Linked DNA regions of Rattus norvegicus. The protein of the gene in region 2 interacts with the protein of the main gene of each other region in a pairwise test. Links are inferred from orthologs where the notes say so. Each region holds a gene or a part of one and is shown on either strand. Other genes may lie near its edges.

The links.
Region 1: the proteins of Lnx2 (region 2) and Lrrc8e interact in a two-hybrid assay, tested with the Homo sapiens proteins (3 studies listed by BioGRID and IntAct). The link is inferred for Rattus norvegicus from reciprocal best matches to the Homo sapiens genes LNX2 and LRRC8E.

The regions. Positions count from the first base shown.
Region 1 is NC_086030.1:7,374,720-7,379,074, reverse strand, and holds the start of Lrrc8e (volume-regulated anion channel subunit LRRC8E), read right to left. Parts: upstream 2,929-4,355; 5' UTR 2,862-2,928; exon of another isoform or gene 2,858-2,861; intron 1,494-2,857; exon of another isoform or gene 1-1,493. UniProt on the Homo sapiens protein: Non-essential component of the volume-regulated anion channel (VRAC, also named VSOAC channel), an anion channel required to maintain a constant cell volume in response to extracellular or intracellular osmotic changes.
Region 2 is NC_086030.1:13,163,838-13,167,649, reverse strand, and holds part of Lnx2 (ligand of Numb protein X 2), read right to left. Parts: coding exon 3,573-3,812; intron 2,688-3,572; coding exon 2,488-2,687; intron 1-2,487.

The DNA.
Region 1 (4,355 bases), about 5.8 Mb from region 2:
GTGCCATCTCACAGTGGCACAATTCCCAACTCTGCCAGGCCACCCTCACAAGTTACAGGCCAGAAGACAGGAGGCCTCTGCCTAGCTCTCAGGAACAAGACATACACATAATGTGGGCAGACACAATCAGCGGGAGGCACAGGGGATTATCATTGTCTGACCCCATGACTCAAACTAGATCTTCCAGAACCTGCCATTAAATTCCAACAGGCAGATGCAAGGCTGGCCCTCTTCCCTGTGTCGGGACAGAGACGGTGGAAGGATCCAGATGTGTTTAGTGGTTGGTGTCGGATGTCTTCTAGCATTCATGGCATCAATTCTCTGTGTGGATTCTGATTATCAAATTCTGCTAAACTATCTGACCCCCCCACCTTTTTTTTTTTTTTTTTTTTTTTTTTTGAGAAAAGGCCTCTCCCTGAAATCTAAGGGTCAGCATTTCCATGGACTGGCTAGTCATTCTGGGACCCACCAAGGTTGCCAGAACGTGCCACAGTGCCCTGCTTTTTCGTGTGTAGAGAACCTTGGAGTCAGCTCAAGATACCCTGAGAACAAATCAGCACAAAGGAGATTTATTTGCTCCAGAGGGACAGAGGGCATGGAATAAAGAGATACAAACACAGAAGATGGAGGCCGAAGTAGAAGAGGAATGGAACAGGGAGAGGGGAAAGGGATGATTTACCTTGGAGAACAGAGGACTTTCTCTAGACAGAAAGGGACAGAGTTGGTCCCTAGGAAAATGGAGGTTTATAAAGGTAAAGGAGGAAGCCATGTTAGGATGAGGCGTTTAATTTGATTGGTTATGTTAATTAGATGAGCTACAGGGGGCTTCTGATTGCTGGACTTCAATACTGTGATAACTGTTATCTTGGTTATTAGCCTCAGGAGGTGGAAGTGGCCAGATAAGGAAATAAACCTCAGGGGCTAGCTTCAGAATGTAATCTAACAGTTTTTAGCAAGGCAGAGGGAATGTCAAGAGGCAAGGCCTCCCAGAGCCAGGTTTACCAGGCATGGGTTGGCTACAGTCCCTTCACTGTGGGCATGAGATGCAAACTCAGGTACTCCTGCCTCTACAGCAAGCGCTCTCCCCACTGGCCCACCCTCCAACCCTCCTGCTTTCCTCACGTTTCATGAGATAAGGTCTTGCTATGTAGCCCTGGCTAGCCTGGTGCTGGCTATGTAGCACAAGATGAACCCAAAACGTCAACACCTGTGCCTCAGTCTAAGTACTAGGATACATAGCTCCTTGAAGATTTCACTGCTACAAGTACTATTTGAGCTTGCCCAGCCAATGTCTACCTCCTGTTTGGCGGCACCCACTCCTTTCCGTCCATTGAAAGCACCCCTCGCTGAGATGCAACCTCTATGTAAGAAGTGGGTTTGCGGAAACGGCTCAGTGAGTAAAATATTTGAGCGCAAGCATGAGGATCTTAGTGATATTCCCAGCACCCATGTAGAATTGGGCAGGGTAACCTATTTCTATACAGCCGCTCCTCCACCCCACCCTGCACCCTCCTCCACACCGCACAGTGGTACGTAGATCCCTTAATATCATTGGCCAGTTAGCCTAGCCAAAACAAATGAGCTTTAGGTCAGTGAGAGACGTTTCAAAAACATAGAGAAACCACTGAAGAGAACATCTCAAGTAAATCTCTGGTCTCTATACATACCCACACCAGAGAAAGGCATCCCAGAAGGCCGGGCTTTGGGCAATCTTGCAAACTCCTTCCCACATCTAAACCTTAGCACTGCGTCTGCTGCAGAAATGGAGGCAGGGGAGCCTCCCAACCTCAGCCAACCTCCCCAGCTGTAGTTCATATGCTAAGGGCTAGGAAGAAACAGAATTCTCAACCTTTAGAATACAAAGTCAGAATTAGGGACGTGGCTGAGTTGATAGAGAGCTTGCTCAGGCCCTGGATTCAATTTCCAGCATCACATAAAGTCTGGAATGATGGGTGTACATCCCTATAATACTCCTTAGGGTAGAGGCAAGAGGACCAACACACCGGGGTCATCTTAAGCTGTATAGCAAGCTTGTTAGAAACAAGCCAGCATTGTATAACCTTGTCTCAAACAAGAACAAGGACAACCTCAAACACAGGGCTGCTGAGATGGCTCATTGGACAAAGGCACCTGTGGCCAAGCAAAAGACCGGAGTTCAAGCTCAGGGACCCATAAGGTGGAAGGAAAGAACCAACTACTACACGTTGTCTCTGACCTCCATGAGAGTGCCAAACCATGTGTGCATACACACGAACACTAACTAACTAGTAAAGAAAAAAATTAAACTCATGAAAAACTAAAAAGTTCAAAGTTCAATCGCCCTTTCCTTTTTTTACAAGGGGCTAAAGAGATAAGGGAAAGTCACCCCTGGCGGACCGTCTTGGGGGCCTGTAGACTCCTAGGCTAGCCCCTTCCCAAGCTTATTCTACTGGGATTTGGAAGGAACTTTTGGAGTCTTCAAATATAAGAATCTTGAAGTGTAAGGGAGCAGGTTTGTGAGGGTGGGGTTCTGCAGCTTTTAGGGCGCTCACTAAGATGAGCTCTGACTTTCTCAGTCACCGCCGCCGCCCCACGCTGGGACAGGCTGTGGAAATCAAGATTCCTGCATTTTGATCTCTCTTCCTTCACTTGATCCCGAACTGCCTGGATCCCAGGACACTGGCTCCTTCGGTGCCCGGCTGAGGATTACCGCACCCCTCCTTCTCCCAGCCCCAGCTTCCACTGTGTGTGGAATTGCTCTCGCCAAGGCCACGGAACCACCCACACCTGAGCGACTCCCCCCACTTCCCCGGGCCATTCCCTGGGTCCAGGTTAATCCCCACGGTGGGACAAAAGCCTCCCAAGCCCCCCTACTTACTCACTGCTCTGGGATGGAACTCTGGGGCCCAACTCCTAGATCACTGGGAGTAGATGGACCCGGACTCCCGCAGAGTTCCCGGGCGGGCCAGAGAGGGTGAGTCAGGGCGGGCTGGGCCAGGAGCCGCCCCGCCCCGCCCCCGGGATTGCTCGGCCCCGCCTCACTACAGACGCTCTCAGGTCGACCCCACTCCACGCCACGCGATCGCTAGCGAGGCGATATATTCTTGAGGCAAGGGGCTTTAGAAGGCTGCAGTCCCTCTACCTCCTGGCCACGGGGGCAAACTGGTATCTTGTAGAGATGTACACCACCTGGACAGGTGTCAGGAAAGTGGCTCTGGGAAGGATTTCCTTCAACCCTTAAGCATCCCCAGCTGGTACTAAAGCTCAATCGAGGCACAGATACCACAAGTTTCTGGCAGGGGAAGACCAAGAGCAGAGGGCTATCCCTCTTCCAGAGGTGGTCTGCCATCAGGAGCTGTGCCCAGACACAGGAAGCTAACCCAATGTGGATGCTAGCCTGACTGTCTCTGCTGAAGTTCGTGGTTCATCCTGAATGTTGGAGGGCTGGGGTAGGGACAAACACTTTGCCCAACCTGGACAGTTCCAGGTAGTAGAGTTGGGCATGCAGGCCAGGGGGTGGGGAAGGGTGGGACTAGTTCTTACTTCCCCCACCCCTTCCCCTCAAACTAGCTTCAAATTCTTCCGGTAGACAAGGATGCCCTTGAATTTCTGATTCCCCCTGCCGCCACCACCTGAGAGGATTACAAGAGGGTTTGCAGGCTGAGGGATTACAGGCTAGTGCCACCATGTGTGGTTTCGGTAGTGTGGGGGATAGAATCTAGGCAAGCACTCTATCAGATGAGCTAAATCTTCAGCTTCTGAAAGGCTCATTAAAAAACCAAACCAACAAAACAAAAACCTGCCTGGACACTACTACCACCACTCCCCAGGCCTCACAAGAAACTAAAGGAAACTTTGACCCCAGTCGTAGACCATCAAACCAAGAATACTGCCTATTTTCAGCTGAAGGCCAGTAAATTTGAACCTTCATCCATTCTCAGTGTGAAATGCCTTCTTAATAAGGAAAACGAGGGCTGGAGAGATAGCACTGACTGCTCTTCCAGAGGTCCTGAGTTCAAATCCCAGCAACCACATGGTGGCTCACAACCGTCTGTCATGGGATCTGATGCCCTCTTCTGTTGTGTCTGAAGACAGCTACAGTGTACTCATACATAATAAATAAATAAATAAATCTTTAAAAAAATGCAGCGGCTGCTCAAAAAAAGGGAAAACGAACATTCCCCCAACACGCGCGCACACACACACACACACACACATGCACACCTCTGTAGGAACACGCACTCAGAGAAAAGAATTTAGAAGCTGGAGAGATGGCACCACAGTGTGCATTGCTCTTACAGAGGACCTGATTCAGATCCTAGCATCCATATCTGGTGATTCACAACTACTTCTAATCCTGGAGGATCTGATGCCTT
Region 2 (3,812 bases):
GTGCAGAGGAGAACATACCTATTGAAGCACAGCGTGAGAGCGTGCAGATGAGAGCACACAGATGAAAGCATACAGATGTGAGCGTACAGATGTGAGCACACAGCGAGAGAGTGTACAGATGTGAGCACACAGCGTGAGAGTGTACAGATGAGAGCACACAGCGTGAGTGTACAGATGTGAGCACACAGCGTGAGAGCGTACAGATGTGAGCACACAGCGTGAGAGCGTGCAGATGAGAGCACACAGATGAAAGCATACAGATGTGAGCGTACAGATGTGAGCACACAGCGTGAGAGCGTACAGATGTGAGCACACAGCGAGAGAGTGTACAGATGAGAGCACACAGCGTGAGAGCGTGCAGATGAGAGCACACAGATGAAAGCATACAGATGTGAGCACACAGCGTGAGAGCGTACAGATGTGAGCACACAGCGTGAGAGCGTACAGATGTGAGCACACAGCGTGAGAGCGTACAGATGTGAGCACACAGCGTGAGAGTGTACAGATGAGAGCACACAGCGTGAGAGCGTACAGATGAGAGTGTACAGATGAGAGCACACAGCGTGAGAGTGTACAGATGAGAGCACACAGCGTGAGAGTGTACAGATGAGAGCACACAGCGTGAGAGTGTACAGATGAGAGCACACAGATGAAAGCATACAGATGTGAGCGTACAGATGTGAGCACACAGCGTGAGAGTGTACAGATGTGAGCACACAGCGTGAGAGCGTACAGATGTGAGCACACAGCGTGAGAGTGTACAGATGAGAGCACACAGATGAAAGCATACAGATGTGAGCGTACAGATGTGAGCACACAGCGTGAGAGTGTACAGATGAGAGCACACAGCGTGAGAGTGTACAGATGAGAGCACACAGCGTGAGAGTGTACAGATGAGAGCACACAGATGAAAGCATACAGATGTGAGCGTACAGATGTGAGCACACAGCGTGAGAGTGTACAGATGTGAGCACACAGCGTGAGAGCGTACAGATGTGAGCACACAGCGTGAGAGTGTACAGATGTGAGCACACAGCGTGAGAGTGTACAGATGTGAGCACACAGCGTGAGAGTGTACAGATGTGAGCACACAGCGTGAGAGCGTACAGATGAGAGTGTACAGATGAGAGCACACAGCGTGAGAGTGTACAGATGAGAGCACACAGATGAGATCACACAGACCAGAGCACAGCCTGAGAGCAGGCTGAGGAGAGAGAGTTGGTTTCCCACAAGAAGGCAGGAAGGCTGGTATGCTCAGCCTTCCATGGGAAGAGAAGTTCTGTGAGGGCAGGACAGACTTTCACTTTTAAAATGTATCCCTAGCAGCTGGGATGGTGCCTGGAGCACTTTAGGGAAGAACTCTGATTAGGAAGCGAGGCTGCAGTCGGGAGGTGGCGCATGCCTTTAATCCCAGCACTATGGAGGCGGAGGCAGGCTAATCTCTGAGCTTGAGTCCAGCCTGGTCTATGAGTGAGTTCCAGGACAGCCAGGGCTACAGGGTTGTCATGAAAACCAGGGTGAGGCTGCATGAGGTGCTTGAACTGTGGCTGCCATTGGCAATGAGGGTCACAGCAGCACCCCCTGGAAGTGAACGACCTGGAGTCCAGGGAGGAGTGCGCACTGAGTCAGGAAGGCAGTGGCAAAGGCCTAGACTGGAGAGGTAGCAGGGAAAGGGAAAGGGGGAGGCGGGAGGGAGGCCTCGGAGGATCCCAGCAAAGGACAGAATGGGGTCAAGGGAGACGGTTCTTGTGCTTGAGCTTTGAGAAGTCAGTCTTCCTTTTGTTCGTGAATATTTTTCTCTTAGAAATTATCCCCCCCCTTTTTTTTATAAATCACAGGGACTCAAATGGCCTGGGCAGTTTCCTATGAAACAGGACACTCGCTGTCCCCGTCCTTTCAATAATGTCTTCTAATAATAGGAAAATATCTGGTCTTACGCTAGTGCTTTGGGGGACAGCTGTGTCTTCCTAAGGGAAGTAAGTGCTCTGGGGACCACGGAGAGCAGCGACTGAACACCCAGAGCTGGATGCTGGCAGGGCATCAGAGAATGAATTTATCCTCCGAGCTTGTTTATCTAGTCATCAAGGAACAGAGGGACCAGTTGGACGTGCAGGGAGGAGATGGACAAAACACTGGGTATGAAATAAAACCAATGGGAAAGAAGAGTCTGGCCTGGTCAACGGTGGCCCTGGACTAAGCCAGAAGTATGGAGGCAGAGTATTGGAGGATCCCCCTTCCAAGTGCCCAGTCACACATAAGACTGGGATTAAAGTGAGAGAAGAAAATAACTGGGTATGGTGGCTCTCACCACTAACCCAGCCTTAGGAGGCAGAGGCAGGTTAACTGAGTTTCAGGATCACACACACACACACACACACACACACACACACACACACACACACACTTAAAAACAGTAAAACCAACTTTTCTATAATTCAGTTTCTACACCACCACAATTGTCTGTCTAAGGTATAGTGGAGCTCTTACCTGAAGAATCTGGTCTCCGGCAAGGAGCCTTCCATCTCTGGCGATGGCCCCGTCCCGGTAGACTTCCTGAATGACGATGTTGATCAGTGGCGTCTCATTGCCGCCAACGATGCTGATTCCTAACTGGATGTACGGGTTAGTGCGGTGGATCTCGATGGTGGTGATCTCTCCTTCTGGTAAACTAAGTGGCTGTTGTACGGCTGCCAAGTCAAGCAAGAGAGCAGTGTTTACCTCAGATTCCCCACACAGGGTCTCAGAGGTTAACAATGACTGTGCTAATAAAACAGGGTGAAAATTAGCCAAGGTTTCTTCTTCCACAGGCGATCAGGAACCATCAGTAGATAACTGCTATGTACTAAGCCAGTAGGGACCACACACTAACAGACGGCCACCATGCTCAAGCACAGATTGCGCAAGACTGTAGGAAAAAAACCAAACCAAAACGCCGTGGTCTGGTGGATAACCCCAGACGGCAGAGAAAAGGCCATAGCTGCACCGACTGGTAAGGGGTGAAAAGTGTCACAGATGTGTCAAGAAACATGAACACAGAGGGCGACTTACGGTCTCTTAGAGAAAATGAGTTCTAGAAGGAAGAGCAGCTCAGGCTCTGTGTGCTCCTAGTGGGTGTGCAGGTAGCAGGGGTGTGGGGTCGGATGCTGTACCCCCAGGCACACAGTAGCCAGCTGTCTGAGCCTTCACCTTTCAGGCTCAGGGCTTTTAACCTGGCTTCGTTTGCTTATTTACTTCTCAATGCTACACGATTTACTGAACTAGCATAGTGTTTAGTGTAGTGACTTTTGAGTTGTTCGTGTTGCATCTGTGGTTTTGCAACCACTGTTCTGATCACGCACTGAGAGTAGCGGGTCTCAGTGGGTAAGGATGGGAGGACCGGCTTCCTCCAGTAAAACTCCTGCTTTATTTCTGGACTGCAGCCAGCTAGAGCTGCAGGGTGCAGCGGGAGTGGTGTGGTATGCAAACTGTACTCCAGTGTAACTGTCTTGGCAGGACACCAGTGCATGCTGGACGGGCAGGGGAGGAAAGGCCAGGGAGACCAGATAAACCAGGAAGAGGTGTGCGGCACGTACAGTCAGCTGCAGCGCTCTCCTCAAAGGCGGGGTTGTCCAGGCCGGGATCCTCGGTCCACACAGGAAGAGGTGCAGGTGTCGAGTTTCTCTCTCCAGGCACAGTACCCAAGCAGTCCGTTTCTGGGGGTGAGGGGCCTGGAGGATCTATTACAGTGGATCCAGTTTCACCCTCAATCTGTGTATGAGCTTGACTAGTTTTCCTTCTCTCTAGATCAACTCTCCGGTGAGAGGCTCCAAGAC